Linked DNA regions of Ovis aries. The protein of the gene in region 6 interacts with the protein of the main gene of each other region in a pairwise test. Links are inferred from orthologs where the notes say so. Each region holds a gene or a part of one and is shown on either strand. Other genes may lie near its edges. The genes, in order: SYBU, PGK1, SRGAP3, clusterin, GRIPAP1, DISC1 and EXOC7.

The links.
Region 1: the proteins of DISC1 (region 6) and SYBU interact in a two-hybrid assay, tested with the Homo sapiens proteins (2 studies listed by BioGRID and IntAct). The link is inferred for Ovis aries from reciprocal best matches to the Homo sapiens genes DISC1 and SYBU.
Region 2: the proteins of DISC1 (region 6) and PGK1 interact in a two-hybrid assay, tested with the Homo sapiens proteins (2 studies listed by BioGRID and IntAct). The link is inferred for Ovis aries from reciprocal best matches to the Homo sapiens genes DISC1 and PGK1.
Region 3: the proteins of DISC1 (region 6) and SRGAP3 interact in a two-hybrid assay, tested with the Homo sapiens proteins (2 studies listed by BioGRID and IntAct). The link is inferred for Ovis aries from reciprocal best matches to the Homo sapiens genes DISC1 and SRGAP3.
Region 4: the proteins of DISC1 (region 6) and clusterin interact in binary tests that used the Homo sapiens proteins (3 or more experiments, as listed by UniProt). The link is inferred for Ovis aries from reciprocal best matches to the Homo sapiens genes DISC1 and CLU.
Region 5: the proteins of DISC1 (region 6) and GRIPAP1 interact in binary tests that used the Homo sapiens proteins (3 or more experiments, as listed by UniProt). The link is inferred for Ovis aries from reciprocal best matches to the Homo sapiens genes DISC1 and GRIPAP1.
Region 7: the proteins of DISC1 (region 6) and EXOC7 interact in a two-hybrid assay, tested with the Homo sapiens proteins (2 studies listed by BioGRID and IntAct). The link is inferred for Ovis aries from reciprocal best matches to the Homo sapiens genes DISC1 and EXOC7.

The regions. Positions count from the first base shown.
Region 1 is NC_056062.1:67,666,375-67,669,874, reverse strand, and holds part of SYBU (syntabulin), read right to left. Parts: intron 2,376-3,500; exon of another isoform or gene 2,295-2,375; 5' UTR 2,238-2,294; coding exon 2,214-2,237; intron 1,829-2,213; exon of another isoform or gene 1,613-1,828; intron 567-1,612; exon of another isoform or gene 499-566; coding exon of another isoform or gene 484-498; coding exon 279-483; intron 1-278. UniProt on the Homo sapiens protein: Part of a kinesin motor-adapter complex that is critical for the anterograde axonal transport of active zone components and contributes to activity-dependent presynaptic assembly during neuronal development.
Region 2 is NC_056080.1:69,217,830-69,221,329, reverse strand, and holds part of PGK1 (phosphoglycerate kinase 1), read right to left. Parts: intron 790-3,500; coding exon 686-789; intron 45-685; coding exon 1-44. UniProt on the Homo sapiens protein: Catalyzes one of the two ATP producing reactions in the glycolytic pathway via the reversible conversion of 1,3-diphosphoglycerate to 3-phosphoglycerate.
Region 3 is NC_056072.1:17,480,469-17,483,968, reverse strand, and holds part of SRGAP3 (SLIT-ROBO Rho GTPase-activating protein 3), read right to left. Parts: intron 1,041-3,500; coding exon 912-1,040; intron 1-911. UniProt on the Homo sapiens protein: GTPase-activating protein for RAC1 and perhaps Cdc42, but not for RhoA small GTPase. May attenuate RAC1 signaling in neurons.
Region 4 is NC_056055.1:102,020,630-102,024,129, forward strand, and holds part of clusterin, read right to left. Parts: intron 3,453-3,500; coding exon 3,044-3,452; intron 1,239-3,043; coding exon 1,137-1,238; intron 1-1,136.
Region 5 is NC_056080.1:56,106,882-56,110,381, reverse strand, and holds part of GRIPAP1 (GRIP1-associated protein 1), read right to left. Parts: intron 2,885-3,500; coding exon 2,807-2,884; intron 2,723-2,806; coding exon 2,627-2,722; intron 2,504-2,626; coding exon 2,447-2,503; intron 2,334-2,446; coding exon 2,234-2,333; intron 432-2,233; coding exon 301-431; intron 1-300. UniProt on the Homo sapiens protein: Regulates the endosomal recycling back to the neuronal plasma membrane, possibly by connecting early and late recycling endosomal domains and promoting segregation of recycling endosomes from early endosomal membranes.
Region 6 is NC_056078.1:3,813,906-3,818,048, forward strand, and holds the start of DISC1 (disrupted in schizophrenia 1 protein), read left to right. Parts: upstream 1-1,343; 5' UTR 1,344-1,418; coding exon 1,419-1,518; intron 1,519-4,143. UniProt on the Homo sapiens protein: Involved in the regulation of multiple aspects of embryonic and adult neurogenesis. Required for neural progenitor proliferation in the ventrical/subventrical zone during embryonic brain development and in the adult dentate gyrus of the hippocampus.
Region 7 is NC_056064.1:54,905,202-54,909,215, reverse strand, and holds the start of EXOC7 (exocyst complex component 7), read right to left. Parts: upstream 2,801-4,014; 5' UTR 2,735-2,800; coding exon 2,675-2,734; intron 2,488-2,674; coding exon 2,422-2,487; intron 1,299-2,421; coding exon 1,114-1,298; intron 926-1,113; coding exon 820-925; intron 1-819. UniProt on the Homo sapiens protein: Component of the exocyst complex involved in the docking of exocytic vesicles with fusion sites on the plasma membrane.

The DNA.
Region 1 (3,500 bases), on a different chromosome or scaffold from region 6:
CCAAGAAATATATTTTACAGTCATAGAAAAAAGAAGTTAAGATTTCACATAGAAAATTATCACCTAGAATAACATAAAAACAGGTATGAAATTCCATCGGGTTGAACCATTCGAAACTGCTGTATCCCTAGGTTAAAAGAGTCAAAAAGATGCAGCCTCGTACTATTCATCCTAATAACAGACATCTGCTCCGAGACTCTAAGGGGCCCGTTCCAGGTCCACTCACAACGCACCCGCAGCGTACTCACTTCCTGCCTTCGTTCCCGTGGGTATCGTACCTGAGCAGAAGCTGTTGCTGCTCACGGTCCTCGCTGAGCGCCCAGAGCTGCTGGGGTTGAACTCTCTGCTCTCTTCCTCCGAGAAAGGAGACTCAGAGGCTGGGGACACCTTGTGCTGTTGCTGAGGCAGATGGGGCCGAAGAATCAAACGGGGAATCCGGCTTCGGGCAATCTCCTTCTCATGATGCTGTACTCTCAGCTCCTTCTCCAAATCGGACATCAGAGAGAAAACAAAAGGACACTTGTTGCCCCCTCTCAACTCCAGTCTGCTCCTTCTGGGCTCAGTGTCTGCGGAGCCACATTTCTGAATATTAAATCTTCACAGAGCAGTCCTTGTTTCAGTATCTAAAATGAGCTCCAAAACTCTCCTACTAAGCTAAGCCTTCTAATTTATTGAAGATCACACGCTACAGCATGGATGTGTATACACACACACACACACACACACACATTCAGCTGCTAGCAGGAAGGCTATTCCTTTCTCTCATGTCTAACTCACCTTGCCATTCTGGCTTTTCCTAGCACATTCAAGCTTTCAGCTCTCTCAAAGGCTCTTTATAACTCGCAGCACACTCTGATTATTACTTGATTTCCTCCAGACTTCCATTTTGCTTTCCCTGAATTAGCTGTGACAATCTGACTTCTGTTTTCCTGTCTCCTGACAAAGCAGACCCCTATACCTGAAACAGTTTCCCTAGATAGATCATGCGCCTTATCTTTCAAATGCACCCCCTCTTCCGGCCAGGATTTTAATTATTCATTAATATCCTGGTACACAAGGCTTGTTGCCAACAGAAAAGCAAACAAAAATTCAATACCGGGTAAGATGGCTCCGCCTTTCTCATCATGTTTAGCTTTTGTTTCTTTACAGGACACTCAAATGAAGACATTTTTTCTCCCTCTCTCTCTCCTTCAAAACACAGCATCAAGTGCAGAGGGCTTTGAAAATGCCCCAAAGCATTATTTCAGTAATATTTTCCCATTTTTAAAGTGCTTTGCCAGCCATCATTTTGTTTAATCTTTCCGACAACAGAGGCCACGGAGAGCACACTAATTTGCGTCCCTATTTACAGATGAGGAAACTGAAGCTAAAAGAGGCAGAGATGCTCAGCCAAGACTGCTGCACATCACCTAGAAGCAAACGGGAGCCTGCAGTCAAGAGCTGGTCGGTCGGGGTCACCCCCACCCTTCCCTATTAAAATGGACTCCCAGGACGGGCTCTCTGCAGAAAAAAACCCACCGCTCCCTCCAACCTCTGCAACTGAAAAAGGGCTTTGGATTAGGTAACGAACACTGTGGAAACATGACCTCCTGCTCATTTCCACGCGGCTTACCAGGAAGGGTCGCTGCCAAAGTAAACACCTCTGAGAGGCCCTCACAGTGCAGGAATTGAAGGGAAAGTCCCAGCCGCGGGTAACTCCCGAGGTCGCTCAGGCACCCGCCCTATCCAGGGGCGAGAGCCGCACCCAGCCTGGAATCTGTGCTGTCACCCGGCAGGTATCACACGCCAGCCGCTCCGCTGGGCACCAGGCGGACCCAGAACCAATGCTGGAGTTCTTATTTCTCAGTCACCAGTATATCAAATCCTTTTTAGTCACATCACACACGGAGGACGACGATTGAGAGCTAGATCCCCAATCTCCAATTTCAGGGAATGGGATTAACCCTTCGGAGTCCATTTTTTTAATCCTCAGTGTCAACCCTCCAAACACCGTACTACCTCCCCATCTCCCGGGCCTCGGATCTCATCACCTGGGCGACAGTCCCCTGCTTTCTTATTGCGCCCGCCACCTCTGCGTCCCCGTCCACCGCAATCCTAAAGGTCATCCCTCCAGCTCTCACCTGATCCGCGTCCCTCCCCGCAGTGCCCACCTCTCCTCTCCCTCCGGCGCTCGCTGACACAGCCATCGAGCCCTCCGGACGTGCCCTCCTTACCTTGGTCTCCCGAAGGGGTCCCATCGCGCTGCCGCCTGCCGGCTCCTCGCGCCGCCGCTGCCGCCGTCCAGGAGGTGGCACCTGCGGGCACCGGGGGCGAGGAGACTACGCTGAGCCGGAGCGCGCCGCGGGCGGCCGCTGCTGCGGGGCCGACGCGCCGCCGCCGCCGCTGGCGCTGGGCTCCGAGGGCGCGCCCCGCCGCCCCGCCCCGGCCGGACACGTGGTGCCACCGCGGCTGCTGTTGCGCCGCCCTCTCCCGGACCTCCCTCACCTGCCGGCCCCCGACAAGGCTCCTCGGCGCGCCCCGCCTGCCCGACTTGGCCGCGGGCTCTCCTCCCAGATCAGCGCGCCTCTCCCGCTCTGCCGAGCCCGACCCTAAGAGGGGTCGCGGACGGAGGCTCGGAGCATCTTCAGCCCGGAGAAGCCCAACACCCCCCTTTGGGCACCTGGTATGGGGTTCGAAAGGGGTGCACGTGGGAGAGAAGAACCCAGAAGAGCTGTGACATCACGGAGAGCCAACCTGTACTAAGGGAAAGTTTTGCCTGGCGGCCCCTCCCTGCCCTCCAGGTTTTCTGTCCGCGTCCAGCTTCCCGCACAATTACCTCGCCGGAGAAAGGGGGTGGGCCGCCCTCCACCCGGACCCCTGGCAAGCCAGTGCTGCAGGCCTAACACAGCATCTGGGTTCCAGGATCTCGGAGGCTGCGCTCCTCCTCAGGCGGTTTGCATCAGAAGGGCCTGGCGTTGGCGGCGCGGCGCTGCCGCAGGGAGGGAACGGCTGGCTTGGGAAGCCGGGCTGCCCCCTCTTCAGCGCCGAACCACCGCCGCCCGCCCGCCGGGAGTCAGTGCCCAGCGCGCGGCTCTGGCGACGCCTCACTCGAACTCAGAAAACCAGTTCAGGGCGGCACGCCTCTTGCTTCTAGCGAAGTGCCTATATGCCTAAAGTTCTTGACCTCTCTGAACTAAAAGTTTATGCTCGTTAAATTTGAGGGATAATAATAATAACAGCCTCGTCAAGTGTAGCTGCTGCTGCTGCTGCTGAGTCGCTTCAGTCGTGTCCGACTCTGTGCGACCCCGTAGACGGCAGCCCACCAGGCTCCCCTGTCCCTGGGATTCTCCAGGCAAGAACACCGGAGTGGGTTGCCATTTCCTTCTCCAGTGCATGAAAGGGAAAAGTGAAAGTGAAGTCGCTCAGTCGTATCCGACTCTTGGCCACCCCATCGACTGCAGCCTACCAGGCTGCTCCGTCCATGGGATTTTCCAGGCAAGTGTAGCTAGGAGGATTAAAAA
Region 2 (3,500 bases), on a different chromosome or scaffold from region 6:
AAAAACCTCCAGCCTTCTTTGGCAGATTTACTCCTACCATGGAGCTAGAAAGGAACAGAGACATTCAAATTTTAGTCAATCCTTAGCAATCCTCCCAATTCTAGAGGCCTTCTCCTTATCACTAAAATACTTTCACTTTTGAGACTCCAGGACACCATGGTTTTCATCCCCAAACTACAACAAAACACCTAAGTACAAGATAAGGTTTCTGGCTAATAATGCAGGATAAAGGAGAACAAGTGAAAAGCAATTACCTTAAGTAGAATTTAAGATACCCAATTAATAGTCTTCAGACCAAGGGTTTAACCACAATAAATTATCAGCTGGGCGATGACAACAGGGAAGGATTCCTCAGTTTGCTTCCGACAGCCTAAGACTCTGCTCCCACAGCAATCACAAAGGGAGAGAGCTCTCCATGAAATATCCGAAGTAAGACAGAACAACATCTTCCTAAAGCTCAACAAAAGGTTCCACAATCCTAAACATTTTTTTACTTTTATTTCATCTTTATATCAGGGATACCCAACAAGAACCACAGTTTTATTTGTAGCTCCAATTAGAGATAGAATCCAAAAAGATCACAATACAACACAGAAATTTCCAAAACCATTCCAGACCTTTGGCTGTTTAAGTAAACAGAGAAATAACGCTCTCAGTTTGACAATGAACAAAAAACTTTTAGTACCTGTGGGCTCGGTGAGCAGTGCCAAAAGCATCATTGACATAAACATCCCCTAGCTTGGAAAGTGAAGCTCGGAAGGCTTCTATTTTAGTTGGCTCAGCTTTAACCTGAAGAGAAAAACAAAACAGGGAGACATTGATGATTCCAAAGAAACTGTAAAAGCATTTCATACCAAGAGTCCTCTTCAACATATCTAAAGACCCTGAGTTGGCAGGATAGCAATTTTCAAAACTAGCAACAGGATCTGGTCTTTCTTCCAAATATTCCAGACCTTTTGCTCATTTCTGTATGTTTTTGCTCTCCTTTGCCTTCCCTCAAATTGCAAGCCTAAGATTCCTGAATCACAGCTTAACCTCTAATCACATCCCACTGGTCTCTCTCCAGCTCCTAGGACAAAATACAAATTACCCTTCTCTCTCTTTGACTCACTGCTTCATTTTAACACATTCTCCTTGTAAAATTTAGGATACTTGAGTCAAGCTGCTAGCTGCCAAGACCTTTCTGCAAACGGAAAAAAGCTCTCATACATATTTCTCATGAAAGCAACAAGGACAAGCTGAGACAGAGAAGGCAGATGGAAACCTGACAACAGAACAGCACCTCAGAAAAAGGAGGTAATTCATATAGCTTTCCCTGGAAGTTAGGCATCTGAGAAAATAATACACTTCTACAAAAAAGATAGAGGGATAGAAAGTTGATGTCAAACATATGGCTTTGAATGTCAGCTCACTATCCAGGGATACTACCCTTTTCATAGGGGAAAGAAAGCAGGACAGCAGAATAAACAATGAGTCTCCAGTAGGAAACAAAGCAAAGATGCATAGAAAGCCAGATGAGGGGGATTATGGCAGAGAAGTGTCAAAGCAGATGTTTAGTCACTGTCCACTCTCATTCTCCTATACACTGAAGTGAAGGAGGCTGTCACAAAGAATGGGCTTTCCTCTAGTGGCCCAAAGAATACAGGGGCACTAATGCTAAAACTAAAGTGTAGAGCCCCCATAATCTCTTTAGAATGGAATATTATCTGCCAACGGTGACTGCAAGATGTGTAGTCATGAAAACACTGCCCAAATGGCAGGAGACCTGGGTTCTAGGCCCACGTCTGACACTAATTTTCTGTGTAACCTTTGTCAAGTTTTTCTCTATCCTTTCCTATCTATTAAAAAGGGAAGATAACTTCTCTATTTAAGAACTGTTCATGGGAAAATGACACAAATTAAAAGCTATCTATGAAAAAGGTATTATAAAAATTAATAATAATCAGAACCTATTTCTCATTTTTTATCTGCCAGGAACCAGAAGGAAGAGAATGCTCCTAAAAGATAATGCAGGTATCCTGCGTAAAGGAAAAATTTCATGCCTCACTTCGTTTTTTATTCACTTTGAACTTATGGCTGGTTCCAAAAATTTCAAGCATGAAAAGCCACTGAACACTAAATGTAAAGTAAACTACCCACAAAGACATAGACTAGCACAGTTGGTTCATCACTTACTGTATATAATGTTTTGCCTCAACTTGCTTCCTGCCATTTCTAAGCCCAAGAGTTGAACAGCTTGAGTTTCAGTCTAAAAGGGCACCAAATTTTAGGTCAGCATTTAACTTCTACTACTGTAGCAAGACCATGCCAAAGGCAAGATATGGCAAGACCTGAGCCTGCAGTGCTAAGAAAAGAAACTGCTTAAAAGCAGGCACTCTGATGACCTTAAGAAATGTCAGAAGCGTAACAGGAGATTGAGATGCTTGCCTCAGAGCATCTTGTTCCCCAAGATACTAAAGACATTAAGAGTAGAAAGTATAAAGGGTGATTTCTGATCCCCTTCTTATTTCTTAAGATAAGGAATGACAGGTACCTTCATATTTAAAAAAAAAAAAAACCTAGGTCTCAGAAAGGCAGTTATTTCTGGAGTTATTTCTCCACTGATCTCCAGTAGCATGCATGCCCAGTTGTATCCAATTCTTTGTGACCCTATCGACTGTAGCCCACCAGCACCTCTGTTCACAGGATTTCCCAGGCAAGAATACTGGAGTAGGTTGCCATGCCCTCCTCCAGGGGGGTCTTCCCCACACAGGGATTGAACCCAAGGTTCCTGCACTGGCAGGTGGGTTCTTTACCACTGAGCCACGTGAGAAGCCCAGCTTCCTTTCTATGAATAGGCAAATTCGAAATCATCCTCAAAAGAGCCAGCTCTATCATTTAATATTTAAATCCTGGTTGTCAGGTCACAGTAATCTACTTTGTAGGTACCTATGGTTGCCTTTTAAATTTTTTTTGGTTTTTTTCCCCTATGGCTGCTTTTGTACAACAATGGCAGAGTTGAACAGTTCCAACAGAGACCATGTAAGGTTGTGACTGACTGTCTGACCCACAAAGCCTAAAATATTTGTTGTCTGACCCTTTACATAAAGTTTGCTTATTGATGGACTGAGCTATATATAAAGCCCAGCAACAGTACTACTACTTCTAACCTTAGTCAAGTAATTACCTTTCTGAGACCTAGGTTTAAAAAAAAAAAATGAAGGTACGTGTCATTCCTTATATTAAGAAATTCAAAGAAAGATCCTTTACACTTAAGAAAAGTGCCTTAAACCCAAGGTAATATCATCATGACCATCATCTACCTAACTCAATCAAATGTTCCAAATAGTCCCTTTCCACTTGACTTACGAAAAGTACTTTTTCTGGTCACATGATTCTTTTATAAGAAAACCCCAATGATATCAAATTTAATTTACTGTCTTAAAAGTACCAAGCTCAAGCTTTAAGTTAATTCCCCTTCTAAAACTACAGATTATTCTTCCATAATACACTAGGGCCTG
Region 3 (3,500 bases), on a different chromosome or scaffold from region 6:
AGCAGGTACTCAGTACAAACTTGGTAAATAAACAAATGAAAGGGCTGTGTGAAAAAGCAAGCTGAAAGGGAGGAAAAAGGAGGGTTCCTGCCTTGGAAGCAGGAATGGTGGGTATTTGAAGACAGGGCCAGGCAGCTCCCTCTCTTGGAGGTGGTGATAATGACACTAATGCATCCCTTTGCATCTGAGGGAAGAGCAGTGCCCGCTGGTACACCGGGGCCAGAGGAAAAGGATGCCCTCACAGAGCCTGACCAAGCACCTGCTGGGCCGGATACCTGTCTTCATGAAGACACACCAAGCAACTCCAGCTCCATCACAGCTGACATAGGAGCTGCCCCAAACCTGGTGCTCACAGCATTCCTGCCCAAATCTGGTTGTCCCACCAGTGCGTTCTGCACAGCTGGCACTCAGGAGCCAGTGTTCCATTTTCCTTTTACTTCAACTGCCTGATTTCTCCCAACATAACATCCCCAAGTAAAGCTGATCTGCGTAATTCTGTCTCATTCATTATTTTCTTCCCTATGTCTGGAGGACTGAACCCCAGGGGTGCTGAACATATAACCGTCTTTACAATCGTGGGAAGTCCCCAGGGCATGAACTGTGTACAATCACCCCTCTATCCCCAAAACCAGTAAAGGACCTGGTGTAGAGGAAGGTGTGCCTGGAAAGTGCACACTGAACTACAATTGCCCAGCCCAAATGTGCAAGGGCCGCCAGAGGCCCACTCCCACTCGGGGAGGTAGAAGCCACGGGGTGATACTCCTCTCTCAAATGCTCCCTGCTTGTCTCCCCCATCAGGGCTCCCAGGGCCACCATCCACCCCACACGTCAGCAAAGAACAAGGGCCAGCCCTCCCACAGCTGATGACTCTCGCCAGGCAGGTCATCAGCGCAGGCTCCCCAGGAGCTCACGTCGATGAGGTCAGAGACGTCGTGGATGTAGTATTTGCTTATAGCCGCATTGGTGGCTGCCAGATTCAGCAAGTAGTCGTTCCGGGCCTTGGTGCACTTCAGCTTGTTCTCAGAATATTTTGCCTGCCTCTGGAGGAAGGGAAACATGGATGTGAGGGCAAAGCCACTGATGGGAGGGATTTGGGAGTTTCTACACGGCCAGTATCTGCAGTCAGCCCCTCATATGGCCCTGGGATGCCTTACTCCACGTGCTGGGTGAGTAGGATCTAGACCCCGTACTCAGAGAGCTCCACCTTATACCACACATGTGCAGCCGACAACAGCACTGCTGGGTAAGCTGCAGGCTTTTCCTGGGTTTGCCAGAGCGGAGTGTAACTCACACCTCCAGGGCCCCCTACTCAACATCCCCCAGAGGCTGCTCAAACCCCGATGATGGCCTGTGAAACCCTCCCGACCCGGCTCTTCGTCCATGTTCCCATCCTTTATGAGGTGCTCCTCTGTCCAGCCTTTAGAGGCCAGGTCACTCCCGCCTCTAGACTCAGACTCCTTCCCTCCACATGGCAGGCCATCCTTCCAGGTCCCTGCATGGCCTGCTTCTTAACGTTATTCGGGTCCTTAGCCACGGTCACATGCATCAGTGTCCCCAGCATCTTGCCTGCCCCTTCCCATGCTCTATTCTGCCCTATTTTTCCCATTTATTTAATCTTTATTCAATTTTTAGTGATTATTTTAAATTTTAAAAGACTTTTTTAGAGCAGTTTTAGCTTCACAGCAAAACTGAAAGGAAGGTAAAAAGACTCTGGGCATGCCTCCTGACCCTGACACACTGCCCCCCAACCCTCACCACCCTCTACCAGGTGGTACGTTTGTTATAATTGGTGGACCTATACTGACACATTGCTATCACCCAGAGTCTACAGTTTACCCAAGGGTTCAGTCTTGGTGTATATTCTGTGGATTTGAACAAATGTTTCCATCCTTACAGTATCAGAGCAGTTTCCCAGCTGGAAAAATCCTCTGTGCACCACCCGTTCATCCCGCTCTCCCACGTAATGGTTGTAAGCACTGATTTTTTTTTTTTTTAATGTCTCCATAGTTCTGCCTTTCTTAGAATGTCATATAGTTGGAATCATATAGTATGTAGCCTTTTCAGATTGGTTTCTGTCACATGCATTTAAGGTTCCTCTATGTCTTTTCATGACTTGATAGCTCATTTCTTTCTAGTGCTGAATAACATTCCATGGTCTGGATGTACCACAGTTACTTAGCCACTCAACTACTGAAGGACATTTTGGTTGCTCAGTTTTTTTCATGAGTACTTTTCACCACCCTAAATTATATTTTTTTACCTCTTTACTAACTCGCTGATTTCCAGTGTACCCTGTGAAGTCAGGGGCTTAATGGTCCCTGTTCATGGCTGGGTCTACAGCACCCAGACCAGTCCCTGCATATGGGCAGCATGAAGTGATTGGCACTGGCTGGATGTGAGTGGTGAGGTGAGGTGGGGTGTGGCGGCCAGACGTGCAGTCTTGACCCAGGCTGAGCTGGACCGCCTCCCTGGGAAGCTGCTTCTGTCCTGGGTCCTCCTGGGCAGGAAGCAAGAATGAGTCCTTGGGTTGGAGAGCTGTCTCTTCGCCCCCTTCAGACAGATGAGTCCCACTGCCGAGGAAGAAGAGAGCCTCCTTTGAAACAAGGCTGCTTCCTACCTAGGCACTCTCAACCTTCATTGCTGCAGATCACGTTCTCCTGTTTAGCAGAGACACTCCATTGTCAGCCTTTTAACTCTCCTCAGACATCTCTTCTGACCTTTATTCGGGGTCCACTTATTCTTGAAATGTCTAGCAATAAGCTTTTGGTAGTCATACCCTGAACCAGCCACACACCCAGCCTCCACAGAGAATTTTGATATTCTTGGCCCATTTCCAGGGGGCTACTATGACCCTGAGACCATTTTCAGCCCTTCATGGACTCATAAAAGTTTACACCTGGAAAGGATCTTGAAGATATCCTAGTTTAATTCATCCATTTTATAGGTGAGGAAATGAACACTGAAGAGAAGTAGGTTGTCCAAGAGCCAAACGATTGATTAGCATACAATCCTGAACTCAAACTTAAGCTTCCAGACCTCTCTAACCAATGCTGTCCCTACCCCTCTATAGGTCCCCTTACGCTGTAGCTCTGTAGTGCCCTGCCTGGTTATCTTACTTTTGAAAGTCTATTTCTAATGTATTCTCAGACATATTGTATCAAAGTATATTCCCAGAATATTGTATCAATACAGCCAGCACCACTATCTAAATTTAGAGTATTTTCATCACCCCAAAGGAAACCCTGTACATTAGCAGTCACTCTCCATTCTTTTCTGCCCCAGCTCCTGACACCCGATAATCTGCTTTCTGTCTATATGCACTTGTCTACTCTGGACATTTCAAATAAACAGAGTCATATAACATGTGGTCTTTTGTAACTGGTTTCTTTCACTTAGCACGCTTGTTTTCCAGGTTCATCCATGGTATATCTTCACGGCTGAAGATTCCATCATAGGGATTTACCATATTTTATGCATCAGTTGACTGTTTCTACCCTTTG
Region 4 (3,500 bases), on a different chromosome or scaffold from region 6:
ATTAAATGCAAAGCAAACATCATTACCACCTCCCCCCCACAACCCCGACACACCAACCGGGATCGATTCACTCAGTACAGGGAAATAATTAACTCCTTCCTTCCAGGCATAGACTTTTGTGAGCCAGGAAGTTTTGTGTGTCAACTGCTTTTATAGCTGTTGACCTCCAAATAGAAAGAATTCAGTCCCCTTGGTAAAACAGAAAGCAACAGCGGAAAAGAGCTATTTCCTCTAACTCAGGGACCAACCAACCACAGGGAAGGTGGCCAGAAAGCGAAGGTACCCCAAGGAGAGACCATATGTTCAGGGCAGAGAACACAGCAGCCCTGGTGGGGAACACCTCCCAAACATCCCCTCAGGAGGGGCATCCAGTAATCTTGGCAGGTCATCAAACCTCTAACTCAGTCTCCTCCTCTGTAAGAAAAGCAGCCACCCGTTATTCTAGGGAGAAGAGTAAATGTTTGTAAGTGTTGAGAAGAAGGGTATTTAGTAACAAACACACGGCAAGAGTTTAATAGTCTCCGTGCTGTTGAAGCACTTCCTCGATGTCTCAGTGGTAAAGAATCTGCCTGTCCATACAGGAGACTTGAGTTCAATCCCTGGGTTGGGAAGATCCCTTGAAGTAGGAAATGGCAACCCACTCCAGTATTCTTGCCTTGGAAATCCCATGGTCAGAGGAGCCTGGTGGGCTACAGTCCATGGGTTGCAAAGAGTCAGAAACAACTTAGCGACAAAACAACAGAACAACAACAACATACTTTCTAAATTTTCGTCTGCAGCCAAAAAAGAAGACGTATACTAGGTTTGACCCCTGGGAATAGACTAACTGGAGGAAGTCACAGGATGACAGCTTTGTAGAAAGCACAGCCACCGCTCCCACAGTCAGCCTGTTAACCATGAGCTGATGTGATAAGTATTCTGTCTCCTGACCTCAGGGACAACTCTGCATCTTAACCCTCAACCCCAGATGGGGATCCAGGCAGAGCCGAGCAAAGGACAGTCCCCCTCACCTAAAAGCCACAGCTGGAAGGCAGCAGAGCTGGCATTAAACTCCCACCCACCTGAGCCCCTCAAGGCAACCCCAGTGAGGTGCTGGGGACCTGAAGACACAGGAGACCAGGGGGCCCCTGACTCACCCACTTCCAGGATCTCCTGGCACTTCTCACACTGGTCCTTCATCCGCAGGCATCCCGTGGAGTTGTGGCGGATCTCCTTACACACAGTGCGGTCGTTGTTTTCTGGGAACACACGGGGACAAGTCACACAGAGCAACATGGGCTGCCCCCATCTCTCTGGGCCCTTCCACACCACTGTCAGGCCCTTTGAGATGATTCTGCGGGCAGAGCAGGTTAGCATCTGGCTGTCTGCCTGAAGACCGCTGGTCTTCCAGGCTCGGACCAGCAGCGAGACTCCCTGCAGTGGGACCAGGAGGTGGCTCCCGGGCCCCCCTGAGCTGGGCATGGCCACCCTCTCATCTCCTTCACCGGCTGACACCTCTCCCACCTCCACACTCCCTTAGCTGTGTGTACTTCTCTTTGGTATCATAACCCGTTTTGCTCTGCATTCTGTCTTGTCTTGTTTCTCTCCCCCTGGCCAGGCAGCAAGCTCCTTGAAGGCAGGAGTAAGATTTACCTTGGAACCTCCTTATAACACAGGGCCTGGGTTGGGAAGATCCCCTGGAGAAGGAAATGGCAACCCACTCCAGTATTCTTGCCTGGAGAATCCCATGGATGGAGAAGCCTGGTGGGCTACAGTCCATAGGGTCACAAAGAGTCGGACACGACTGAGCGACTTCACTTCACTTCACCACCACCCCACCCCTCTCAACCTTATGGATATGCAGGAAATGCTTGTTCAGGTCAATTTGTTGTTTAGCTGCTAAGCTGTGTCAGATTCTTTTGCGACCCCATGGGCTGTAGCCTGCCAGGGTCCTCAGTCCATGGGCTTCTCCAAGCAAGAATACTGGAGCAGGTTGACACTTCTTTTTCCAAGGAATCTTCCCAACTCAGGGGTTGAGCCCACGTCTCCTGCATTGGCAGGTGAGTTCTTCAACACTGAGCCACCAGGGAAACCTGTTTAAGTCAGCACCCTCCCGCACTTCCAATCCATTACAAGCCAGAACCCAGTGCTGGCCCAGCCGTAGCATTTAGGCGATGGGGTTGGCCAACCAGAGTCTATTGGTTCAATGAAAGAAATCACATCTAAAAGTTTCGGCTTTTCGTGTCCATGTTAGAGTTCATTCATTCAAAAGATACTCGCTATGTGCCCATTCTCTACCAGACCCTAAGGTTATAGCCACAAACAGCTTTCTTAACTGTACAGTGAGCTGATTATATAATTCATTGCCAATATATGCATGGCATCCATATAAAGCACCTGAGTTCCCAAGACAAAGGGGTCTAGCCCTCAAGGGCAGTGGTCCACAACCTTTTTGGTTCAAGGGGTCAGTTTTGTGGAAGACAATTTTCCCATGGACCAGGGAGGGGGTGGGTGGGGGATGGTTTCAGGATGATTCAGGAGCATTACATTTATCGTGCATTTTATGCCTATTACTATTACACCAGCTCCACCTCAGATCAGCAGGCATTAAATCCCAGAGGCTGGGGATCCCTACCCTAGAGGAAATAGTGTCATGCCCACCAGTTGTTGGAAGGAGCCTGGAAAATTCAAAAGAATACCAGAGTTACAAGTCCTGTAGGGCTAGATTTGACCATCCCGGGGGATTTCCCAAACCAGGGATCAAACCTACATCTCCTGCATTGCAGGCCGATTTTTTACAGCTGAGCCAACAGGGATGTCTGTGAACCTTTGGGCATGTTCCTACACTCCCTGTCAAACAGGGATGGTAGCCCCCTCCCCAGGTTGCTCTTTGGGGGATTCAGACGATACAGGCCAAGTCCTGGGCACAGATCTGAGCATCTAAGGCTCCCTCCCTCCACACTTCCTTAGCTCCTTAGCTATTCGTACGTCTCGTCAGCATCACAGCCTGTGTGACTAGGTTAAGCATCTCAAAGAACTGAGTTTTCATCCCCCTCCTTCTCACCTGTAAATTCCGTCACGGGGAAGTGGTAGGGAGTCCTCTGCAGGTGGGCGTCCATGGCCTGCTGGGCCTGGCGGATCATGTCGTAGAAGGGCTGAAACACATCGTGGAAGTTGAGGGGTTCCAACAAGGGGAAAGGCATCACGTTCCGGGCAAAGCGGGACTTGGGATTGAAGAAGAGTGACCCCCTTGGGAACGAGCTGAAGGGGGAGTAGTATTGAGTGTCCTGGGGCCTCCGGGGGAAGAACCGGTCCTGGAAGAGCTCGTCCATGATGCTGGACGCCCGGGTGAAGCTGTCCTCCATGACATCCATCACATGGCTCTGCTCCCGATCATTCTCCATCAGGGAATCGATGCGGTCACCGTTGATCCAGAAGTAGAAGGGGGAGCTCTGGTTTAGGAACTCCTCGAGCTGTGGCAGGAGATGGGGGATAGTCAGGGATGCTTCCCCTTTTGTCAA
Region 5 (3,500 bases), on a different chromosome or scaffold from region 6:
AAGGGTCTGGCAAGGAAGCTGACATAGACAATAATAAATGATAACTATGAATTGGGGGAAGAAAGGATCTCCTACATGGATAATGCACCTACTATGAGCCACGTATTTTATGGCACCAGGAAAGGTAGAATTAGCCCAGAGATGATGAAACAGAGGGTCAGAGAAAATAATTTGTTCATCCTCCATTTAGCAATCTGTATCCAAGTTTGTGAGCTTGAGGAAAACTTGACAAGAATATATGTGTGCTGGGCCCAGAATCTGGGTAGAAGCTGGGGCTATAGGTTCTTCCCTGCCCCTTACCCTTGCTGGAACAGTTGAGCTCTCCTTCTCCCGCAAGATCTCGCGGTAGCTGAAGGAGGAGACGCTACTGCTGTCCCCAGTCTGGGTCCGGCTTGGTGAGTTCATCTCTGAGAGAACCAACTCCTCGAGCCCTGGGCAGAGAGGGAAGAGAAATCTGAGCCCCAATCCCCCAGGGTCCCAGGGCAGGAAGAGGCAGAAATAGATTTGACAGAGATGGAGAGAGGCAAAGAGACACTCAGGCATGATGCAGACAGTAGGATAGGGAAAGGCAGAAACAGAAAAAAGAGCTGTTTCTCTAGGCAAACACACACCAGAAGTGAAACAAAGGTGAAGATGGGGAGAAAGAGGCGATGCAGGCACAAATGGGCATAAACTGGCGTATGCACTCAGACTCAAGATACACCATAGCTGGAGAGGGCACAGGGGCACCTGCACGTGCAGAGAAAAGACCCCAGACAGACAGCAAGCCAGAGCAGATGATAGAGGCTAACAGAGATGCTGGTTTAGGACACAAGTCAGAGTAGTGACACAGAGAGAAAAGATGGCGATAGACTCATAGGCATACACCCAAATCTGACTTTCCTAATGGACAAATAGAACGTATGGCACACAGTTTGAATCTGTTTATTGATTTGTACACCAACTTGCAACAGAAAGAAATAAAAGTCCTGCCTTATAATGAGAGGTAACTTCAGGAGACTGAGTCCCTCAGTGAGACAGTGATTTGGTGAGAAATACACCCATTTTGGAGAAGGCAATGGCAACTCACTCCAGTACTCTTGCCTGGAAAATCCCATGGACGAGGAGCCTGGTATGCTGCAGTCCATGGGGTCACTAAGAGTCGGACACGACTGAGCGACTCCACTTTCATCTTTCATTTTCATGCATTGGAGAAGGAAATGGCAACCCACTCCAGTGTCCTTGCCTGGAGAATCCCAGGGACAGGGGAGCCTGGTGTGCTGCCGTCTATGGGGTCGCACAGAGTCGGACACGACTGATGCGATTTAGCAGTAGCAGCAGCACACCCGTTTTTGACAGATCATTTGAAACACAGCCACTAAGCATGTGCCTCTGTTCCTGCAGCTGCTTCTGAGTGTCAGGGAGAGGGGCTGACACAACAAGCCAAGGATCTCCAGCAAGAGCAGGGTGGCTGGGGAGGGACAGGCAGCAAGTTTTCTCTCACTTGTGATACAGGAACTACACCAGAGCCATCACTGCAACTTATTTATTTAAACACAGTTTTAGGCCATTTCTTTGTTAAAGTAAAAAAAAGTCTGAGGCAACTCAAATTTTTCTGTTTTATCTTCTGCCTTAAGTGGCAGAAATAATGTAGACTTTAACTGCATAAGAATCACATGGTAGTTCTGCTACCTGATTGTAAGTCTGTCTCCCCAGCTCAACAGGAAACTTCTGGAGGACTGAGACTTGGGGCGGGGGGGTCCTATCAGGGACCCCAGATGTGAGTGTGAGGGCTCAGTCCATATTTACAGAATGAGAGAATGAACACAAGAGACTGAGAGATACTAGGTGAGGTGTGGGGGTGTATGAGGGGTCGTGAGGACACAGAGACAAAGACAGATGAGAGAGACTGAGGAGGGAGAGAGACAAAGGAACAGAGAGAAGAAAAGACCAGGATGAGAAAAAGAGAGAACTAGAGAGGGAAAGCTGGGAGAGAAAGGCAGATAGAGATGAAATGAGGAGGCAGAGATAGAAACAGAAGAGACACAGCAAAAAGGAGGGAGAGCCCAGAGAGAGAATGCAGAGAGAGAGAAACAGAGGAGGGAGAGATGCAGAGAAAGGGTAAAAGAAAGTTCAAGACGGACAGAACACACAGGAGTGCTCTACAGAATGAAGTACAGGAAGCGGCCCCAGCCTTCAGGCCCAGGCTATGCCTCCCCACACCTCAGCCTCCCCTGTGCTCTGGGCCCTTCACCTGAGCGGCTCTTGCTGTTCGTGAGAATGTCTTGCAGCCGCTCCTGCAGCTTATCTGCCCGTTTCCGCTCTAGGTGCAGCTGCCGTTTGAGGTCCTTGAGCTGTGGGGAAAGGCAGAAAGAGGGGGGCTGAGGCCTGGTGGGCCCACAGGTGGGGGCACCACAGGGCAGGAGTGGGCCACGCGTGAAAGCCTCCCAAGCATGTGCTGTCATACCGCAGCACTGCCCTTCTTTTCCAGGATTCGCTGCCCATCCACGGTGTCCTTCACTTCCTGTGGGAGAGAGACAGCGTGGCTGCGGGTGCCAGCATGGCCGCCTGTAGTGTGCTCCCTCCCTGCCCCACCACTGCATGCTGATCCCCAGGGTGTTTCAAGGGCTCAGGAGGGACCAGGGACCTGCTTCAGGCTGTTGATGGTCTTCAGGTGACAGTCCCGCTCCTCCTGGGCCTGTCGGAGCTGCTCCTGCACACCCTGTAGTTCCTCCTCCTTGCTCTGCAAAGCAGAAGGCAGCTCAGGCCAAGGCCTGGGAAACCTCAGTCCTCCCACCAGAGAGAAATGCCGTCATACAATAGGCACCTTCAGCTCGCTGGCGTGCTGCTCCTGACACTGCCTGAGGGCTTCCTCTTGTTCCTGTTGCTGCTGCTGCAGAGATTCCTACAAGACAAGTCCCAGGTCTGAACACAGCCCCCCAGAGAACATCACGCCCAGTGAGGAGGGTAAGGGACTGCAGGGGGCCCCTGGGTGTGCAGAGAAGACACTCCCACAGGGAACACTGGATGCAGGAGTGTCACATCGAGGACCAACATCTGCATTTACATCTTATTTAATAAAACATAACAGCACTACTGAATGCCAGGAATGCTGTGCATGCTAAGTCGCTTCAGTCGTGTCCAACTCTTTGCAACCCCATGGACTCTAGCCCACCAGGCTACTCTGTCCATGGGATTCTCCAGGCAAGAATACTGGAGTGGGTTGCCATTTCCTCCTCCAGGGGCTCTTCCTGACTCAGGGATCAAACCCACATCTTTTTCGTCTCCTGCATTGGCAGGCAGGTTTTTTACCGTTAGCGCCACCTGGGACTTTATATATATTACCTCATTTTATAGAACCCTCCCATAGTACCTAGACAGCAAGTATTATTGTTATCATTTTTTTATGGATGTTGAGAACCGGCCACAGAGAAGTAAATAACTTGTCCAAGGCCACACAACTATAATAGAAAGCAGCCTAGCCAGGATTCAAACCCAGGCAAACAACTGGCTCCAGCTTG
Region 6 (4,143 bases):
TAAGGACCCACGCTGCAGTGGTGCAGTTTCCATGGTAATTTCTGATCTACAGAGAAGAGTTGACCAGGCATGCTGGGTCACAGAGTTATTTCTCAGAGTGTCCTCTGGACCTCCTGGGAGTCAGTAAGTGGGTCTTATGTGATAAGTCTATGCTAATATTTCACTCTCCCTAAGCCTTTAGATAATTCCTTTACAGTGTACCAAGGCAGTTCTGGCATTTCCACATCATTTAGTGCTGGTCACCTCTTGCCTCCCATTTCTGTCAACTAGCTAAGCAAACAGCTTGTTCTAATCTCACAAACTGCGGTGAATCCGGATCTCTGCTTGGTGGTGACCGTCATTACATTCAGCCTCATCCAATGGTTCCCCACACTCTTCATATTAACGCTCACATTCATTCTGTCCCACAACACTCCGACTTCTAAGCATATATAGGTGTTTTCACTCACATGGTCCTGATCTTTTGAACGACCTTGACTCTCCTGCAGTTCTAGGACGATCCTTCCCCTTCCTCCAGGGAGCCTTTCCGACCTTTCACTGCCTCTTACCGCCCCTCCTCCCACTTCTACAGTGTTTCATGACAGACTTTGGCTCTTGCATATTCTGCTGTACGTCATGATTTAGTTTTACACGCTCATGTTTATCTTCCCCATAGGAGGCCGGGGAAGCTCCTTAAGGGCGAGAACCATTTCTGGCAGGTGCGTCTTCAGAGATGCTCCAGGAGACTCCTGCATGAATACAAGAGGAGGCGAGTGGGCTGGCTTAGGAACTCAGCACGGATCGCAGTTGTGTCCTGGGCTGGCTGCCCAACGTGGGGAGGCGGATCTGGGGCCAGCCCAGTGCTGCCAGAAGATTCAAACAGTTGGATCCTCATTTCATGTAGAACTACTCGCCCCGCTCTCTTTCCCAGGGTGAGCTGCAGTCTCCCCTCATCCTCCCCCCGCCCCCCGCTCCTAGCGAAAAGAGTCCCTCTCACTCCGTCCAGCTCTTCCATCAACCCTGTGGTCACTTCCCTAATTAGTGTCTGGGAGGAACCCTCCCGTCCCCCAAGGAGGGCCTCCTAGTCTCTCCCTTCCCGAACACCCGTCCTCTCCACCGCACTTCCCCTCTCATTTTCGTCCAACACCGAGGGAGAGTGAAAAATAAGCTCTCCGAGGTCTGTGACCCAGGCTGCGGGCTTGCGCGCCCCGCCCGCCCCAGCCGTCCGCGTGTGTGTGTGTGTGTGTGTGTGTGTGTGTGTGTGTGTGTGCGCGCGCGCGTGCCTGCCCCGAGGCTGGAGAGGAAACAGCCGGTCCAGCCCGGGAGGAGGAAGGAGCCTCCCCTTCCTCGCCAGCCCCCTCCCCACTTCCCGTCCGGCTCGGCCTTTAGCTTCCCGGACGCGGGCCTCGGGTGCACAGAGCCCTCTGGCCGCAGCGGAGATGGAGAAGGCGGAGGCGGATCGGGAGGAGCCGGCGGGGCGCATGCTGGGCGGGGCTCCCCAGGGCGCCCCGGCCGGTGGCGGCAGGGGGCACCGCGCAGGTAGGGGTGCTGTCACGGCCGCCCGGCGGGTCGGGCCGAGGGTTCCTCGGCGAGGGTGAGCTCTGTCCTCTGGAAATCGTTTAGGTCCGGGGTGCGCCTCGGTTAATATCTAGGGCTTCTGCACTCTTGCGGGGTGAGGGAAACTGAGGCAGGGCGCGTGGCGTGCCGAGCTGAAGTCTTTGTCGGGCCTGGGGCTGCCCGCCAGCGCCGAGCCGGGCCAGGTCCTCCCGGAAGACGGTGCTGAGATCCCGGGAGCCGCAGTTCCCGCCCCCGTGGGTCCCGGTGGCCGAGGAAGGCGGCTTGAGCGCGCGGCTGGGTTTCGCTGCGCCCGGGGACTGAGCCAGCCGAGGCTCGGGGCTCCGCGCGCCCTCCCCTGCGCACTCGCCGGACAGGGGACGCCCCGCCGCCTGGTCCGGGAACAGCGTCCTGACACCTCGCAGAGTCTCGGGTTTCAGCACTCGAGGACCTGGAGGGAGGAGGTTGGGGTGGGATGGGGGACGCGGTGCTGGCACCGTCCCAAGGGGCTGCTCTGCGAGCAGTTTCACCTCCCACTTCCTCCGCATCTGTGATGCCCTCGGCTGTCTCGGAGCTGGAGCCGGGGAGCCCCGGTCAAGCTGTCAACGCTGTCAGCGCTCAGCGTTGACACTGAGGCCGTGAAGTGCACAGCTGCTTTGCAGGAATGGCAGGATGTCCCCTGCCATCTCGCTTTTAAAATACACGTGCAAAGGAGTTTGAGACTTTGGGATAAGAATGAGATTTGGAGTGAGGGAGTTATGTGTCCTTGCTGGACTGGAAGGAGGCGGGTAACTTTGACAGCTTCTTGAGTCTTCCCCGGTGGCTCAGATGGTAAAGCGTCTGCCTGCAATGCGGGAGACCCGGGTTCGATCCCTGGGTTGGGAAGATCTCCTGGAGAGGGAAACGGCACCCCACTCCAGTACTCTTGCCTGGAGAATTCCACGGTCGGAGGAGCCTGGTCGCAAAGAGTCGGGCACGACTGAGCGATTTCACTTTCACTTTAGCAGCGCTGAACCTCGGATTTCATCACATACACAAAAGAACGCTGGTAACCTCCCCCCTCCCCATCTCGTCTGGATATCTGCTGTGTGTGAAAGCACTTTGCAAAATGTATGGTCAGTTGGGCAGGCAAATGCGATTTGGGTAATACCAGAGCCTTAAGAGCTGGAGGTTGAGACAGTTAGCTTGCATCTCAACCCTGCACTTAACTGTGTCTTAGTTGCCCCATTTATGAAATGGGACAATGACAGTGACCTCATAGAGTCGCTGTGGGTTTGACTGTGGCCATGGATGTGAACACCCAACCTGGTGCTGAGATACGTAGTAAGCTCTAAATAAGAGCCTCAGATGCTCTTTTCACTAAGCAAAACCCAGTTAATTTGGAGTGGTGAAAAAAAAAAAAAAACACAAACAAACCACCACCAGTTTGATTTGATTATAGTATGAATGTGTGTGTGTGTGTGTGTGTGTGTGTGTGTGTGTGTGTGTTCAGTCGTGTCTGACTCTTTGCAACCCCATGGATTCTAGCCCACCAGGCTCCTCTGTCCATGGGTTTTCCAGGCAAAAATACTGGAGTTGGTTGCCATTTTCTTCTTCAGGGGATCTTCCTGACTCAGGGATCGAACCCTTGTCTCCTGCATCTGCAAACAGATTGTTTACCACTGTGCCATCTGGAAAAACCACATCTCTTGTAAAGTATGAATCAGCTCAGTTCAGTTCAGTTGTTCAGTCGTGTCCAGCTCTTGGCAACCCCATGGACTGCAGCACGCCTGGATTCCCTGTCCATCACCAACTCCCAGAGCTTCCTGAAACTCATGTCCATCGAGTCGGTGATGCCATCCAATCTCATCCTCTGTCGTCCCCTTCTCCTCCCACTTTCAATCTTTCCCAGCATCAAGGTCTTTTCCATTGTGTCAGTTCTTCACATCAGGTGGCCAAAGGATTGAAGTTTCAGCTTCAGCATCAGTCCTTCCAATGAATATTCAGGACTGATTTCCTTTAGGATGGACTGGTTGGATCTCCTTGCAGTTCAAGGGACGCTCAAGAGTCTTCTCCAACACCACAGTTCAAAAGCATCAGTTCTTCAGCACTCAGTTTTCTTTATGGTCCAACTCTCACCTCCATACATGACTACTGGAAAAACCATAGCTTTGATAAGATGGACCTTTGTTGGCAAAGTAATCGCTGCTTTTTAATATGCTGTCTAGGTTGGTCATAGCTTTTCTCCCACGGAGCAAGTGGCTTTTAATTTCATGGTTGTAGTCACCATCTGCAGTGATTTTGGAGCCCCCCAAAATAAAGTCTGACACTGTTTCCATTGTTTCCCACCTATTTGCCATGAAGAGATGGGACCAGATGCCATGATCTTAGTTTTCTGAATGTTGAGTTTTAAGACAACTTTTTCACTTTCCTCTTTTACTTTCATGAAGAGGCTCTTTAGTTCTTTGCTTTCTGCCATAAGAGTGGTGTCATCTGCATATCTGAGGTTATTGATGTTTCTTCCAGCAATCTTGATTCCAGCTTGTGCTTCCTCCAGCCCAGCATTTCTCATGATGTACTCTGCATAGAAGTTAAATAAGTAGGGTGACAATATACAGCCTTGACGTACTC
Region 7 (4,014 bases), on a different chromosome or scaffold from region 6:
TAAACCTGGAGTTGTATATTTTTTTGTCTTCTTCTCTAGCCCACCCCTACGCCCAAGTTCTAGCACAGAGCTCTTCACTCTGTGACCTGAACTTGGTAGAGATCCTCAAGAACAAAGTTCTCCAACCCCTGACATTCCAATCTCTGAGTCTAGGCTGCCCACTGATGGGTTGCAGTATAGTGGTTATAGTGGTGTGTCCCCTCTGGGTTACTAGTGTGACAGTGTACTGATCCTGCAGTTTTCTGTGTAGCCAGGTGGCAATGGTTACACAATGTGAATGTCACTGAACTGTTCCCTTAAAGATGGTCAGAAATGGTAATTTTTATATTATTTATTTTTCAGTACAATAAAAAATACCCATGCATTTATAAAAATCAAATGTTAAATCTGTATTTCATAGGTAACTTGTAATGTGTGTTCTCTGCTGGCTCAGTGGTAAAGAACCTGCCTGCCGATGCAGGAGATCTCTGGGTTGAGAAGATCCCCTGGAGAAGGAAATGGCAACCCACTCCAGTATTCTTGCTTGGGAAATCCCATGGACGGAGGAGCCTGGCAGACTACAGTCCATGGGGTCACAAAAGAGTCAGACACAACTCAGCAACTAAACAACAACTTATAATTTAGCTAAATTATTAAAATGCAATCAAAATGTAGACCTGTAATTTCTGAAACAGACATTTCAATGTCTGTAGTATGTGCATGGTACTATATACTTCTCTTCATTCGACTATATTATCTTTTAGCTGGTTCAGTGTCTCATGAGACCCGGACAGGGATTGGTGTCTCCCAACCTCTCACATCACTCTGCTGGCCCCTTACCACTTTGTTGAGCTCTGGGCTGTCTGGGCTATTGTCCTGGAAATATTCCACAGCCTTCTGAATCTTGGCCATGCTTCCCAGATACTCCTCTAGCCTACCTGTAGGCCTGGAAAGGAGAAGAACCATATTAGCCCGGGCAGATGGAAGATGAATAGGAAGGACTAAGGGAATGGTATTTGGAAATGGTGAACAGAATTAACACAGGGGACTCTAGGCTCATATATATTCTACCCCGCTTCCAAAGCCTACTGGTCCAAGAGGCGTTAGGAATGTGACCCTCTGGTCCGAGCTCACCCCTCTCTGATGATCTTCTCAGTGTCACTGGCCACGTGGTAGTAGCTGATGACATGGTCCAGACAGGACAGGGTCTTCTCGACATTCTCCTGCAGCCGCTGCAGGTTCTCCGTCTGCTTGTGCACGGGGATGATGGAGTTCTCCAGCTTCATAAGGCGACTTTCAAAGGATGACAGGATAGACACCTACAGGGGGAAGCCCCGTGCTCTCAGGCCTCAGGGTTGTCCCAGCACTGCTTCTGCCCCTTGCCAGGTCTTCGCATTTGCTGCCTTTTCTCTGGTTTTCTAGACAGTAGGCTCCAAGAGGAGAGGGACAGGGTATACTTATTCCCCACTGTATCCCCAGGATCTACCACATGCCTGGCAGATCGGAGGTGGCCCAAATAAATTGGCTGAAGTTTGATTTGAAGGCGAGGCAACCATTACATTAACTTCTCAGAAAATCACCTCAGGATGGCTTCCCTTCCACCCTTTAAAGCCAGATCTCAACTTATGTTCTCCCTGATGCTTTCCTAGACTGAACAGGAACTACTTTCATATAGAGTAGCCTCAAGGTACTCTATACCAGCATTCCTGGTACCTTCAAACCCCCTCTCTCTAAGGCTAAATCTCATTAAGTAAGGACTAGCACCTGATGACTGTGTTACTGAATACATACCCACCTTTCTATCTACTACTCAGTTTGGGTTTTCCAGGCTCTTTTCAGAATAAGAAAGGAAGTTCATGTTTATTGAGTACCTATTGTATACCAGATACTGTGCAAGAGGCATTTCCATGCATTAGCTTCTATGACCTTCACAGCTACAATGGAGATTGGCATCGTCTATTTTAGCAGAGGAGGTAACTGAGGCTCAGCGTTACCTGTCAGGAGCCACACACACATAAGTGGAGGGGCAAGGGCTAGATCCCGCATCTATCTGATTTCTGATTCATTTTACCCCTCCAGCTCTCCAGAGTGACGGCTGAGTCTCCTGCCCTCAGTAATCTCAGAAGTGGTAACCCCACCCGTGATACCCGCACTTAAACTAAGGGTGACCCATGGCCAGTACCCAGCCCACTTAAGTCAGTCTCACTAAATGTTTGCGGAAGGAGAGAAAGAAGAATGGAGAACTTAGGCAGAAAGCAGAAATGTGGGGAGGCTGCCGCATCCTCAGCGAAGTGGCGGGCAAGGGTGTAAGAAGTGTAACACTGTTGCTAGAGAAACCCAGACGTTACCACCCATCACCACCCAGGCCAGAAGCCTCAGGCTTTAGGTACCAAACCCCTGGGTCGCAGCGTCTGGAGGCCCTCCCAGCGAGGGGTTACTCACCATGTTCTTGGTGAGCTGGTCGCTCTTCTCCAGGCTGTCTCGGATGAAGGACAGCGTCTCCTCCTCCTGCGAGGGGGAGGGGAGGACATCAGCAGAAGCCAGAGACCACCGCATCCCGGCTCCACAGCCTCGCCCGGACCCTATTGCCTGGTACCCGGCCCCCTCCACTCCTGCTACCTCCCCTCCCTGAGTGGACGCCCGGCCCGGATCTCGGCCCCTTCCCTCACCTCCTCCCCCGCCTCCCCAGCCCCACCTGCTTCAGCTTGTCCTCGATCTCCCGCCGCCGGGCGGACGCCTCCTGCGGGGGAATCATGACTTCGACCCTCCCTGCGAGCGGCTCCCACAGCCGAGCGGCTCCCACAGCCCAGCGTCTGGCTTCAGAGAGCCCTCTCGGCTCCCGTCCCTGTCACACCCACTTCCGCCCGTGGCCCCCTCCCGGGGGCCCGTTTGCCGCCATGTTGGGAGTGGCAGGCGGAAGTGCGCCTGCGTGGAACTCAGGGACAGGGGAACCCGGCAGGTGGCCATCTTGGGTGTGGCGGGGAGGTGCACCGGGTTTCACCTTGATGCGTGTTGCCGCACTCATCAGAGAAGGTTCTCTAGGGGTGTTTTGTCCCGCAGCTGGCACAACAGTTACAGCTCACTTGCCGTCTTCGTGGGAAGGCTGACTCTTTTCACAAAGATTAATAACAAATTCGTTTGTCTGGATCCAGGCACAGATGAGGTGTTCCCCCGCAAAGCACAGCACAGAGCTTGTCACACAGCAGGCGCCTAATGTGTGCTCATTTAATGACCGAGGGACCTATGTAGTCGTGTCCCCCTTCGGCCCTAAAAGCTCTCACGGAATGCGCCCTGTGTGCAAGCCCTGGCCCGGGCAAAGAATGGTCGCCCATGGCCCCAGAGGCATCCATAACTACAATCCCGACTTGTGAGGGGCTCGGCCAAATTCCTGGGGTAGGAGGGGTTCTGGGAGCACTCATCCCGGGGACTGGGATGGGACCAGAGAGAAGCTCCAAGCGCCACACTAAGGTGTCTGTTTTGGAAAGAGAGACATGGTTTTATTTGCTGGGGGTGAGGGCCAGGCCGCGGGTAGCGAGTGGCTTCAGCGGTGTATTTGCCCAGGTCTGGAAACAGTGCAAGGGGAAGGCTGAAAAAGTCCAGACCTGTCCGAGGGGTTAGAACCCAGGTGGTGTTCTCAGTGATGGAGACGCTGAGGCCTATCTGCTGGTGCTCAGACACAAGGGGAGCGTTTCTCATAGGGCCGCTGAGGACATCAGAAAGGCCTGGAGGGCTGGTAGGGACCCTCCTGCAAGAGGCCAAAATATCTCAGCTCCTTTGCCCAGAGTCTCCTCTAATTAGGGGCCAGCCAGGGGTGGGGAGGTGGCCCTGGGTCAGGGTTCCTGCAGGGATGAATGTTCTAGATTCACCACAGACACAGCTCCTGCAAAACCTAGTATTACTCCCTCCTCCATTGCAGAGGCTCACCCTGCCTCTGGTCTCACCCTGGGGTGGTAAGTGGCTGCACAGCTTTGTTGAGGCATCCAGATACAGGAAGACAGACAGTGAAGCATATGCTGGTGGGTGAGAAGGTTTGGG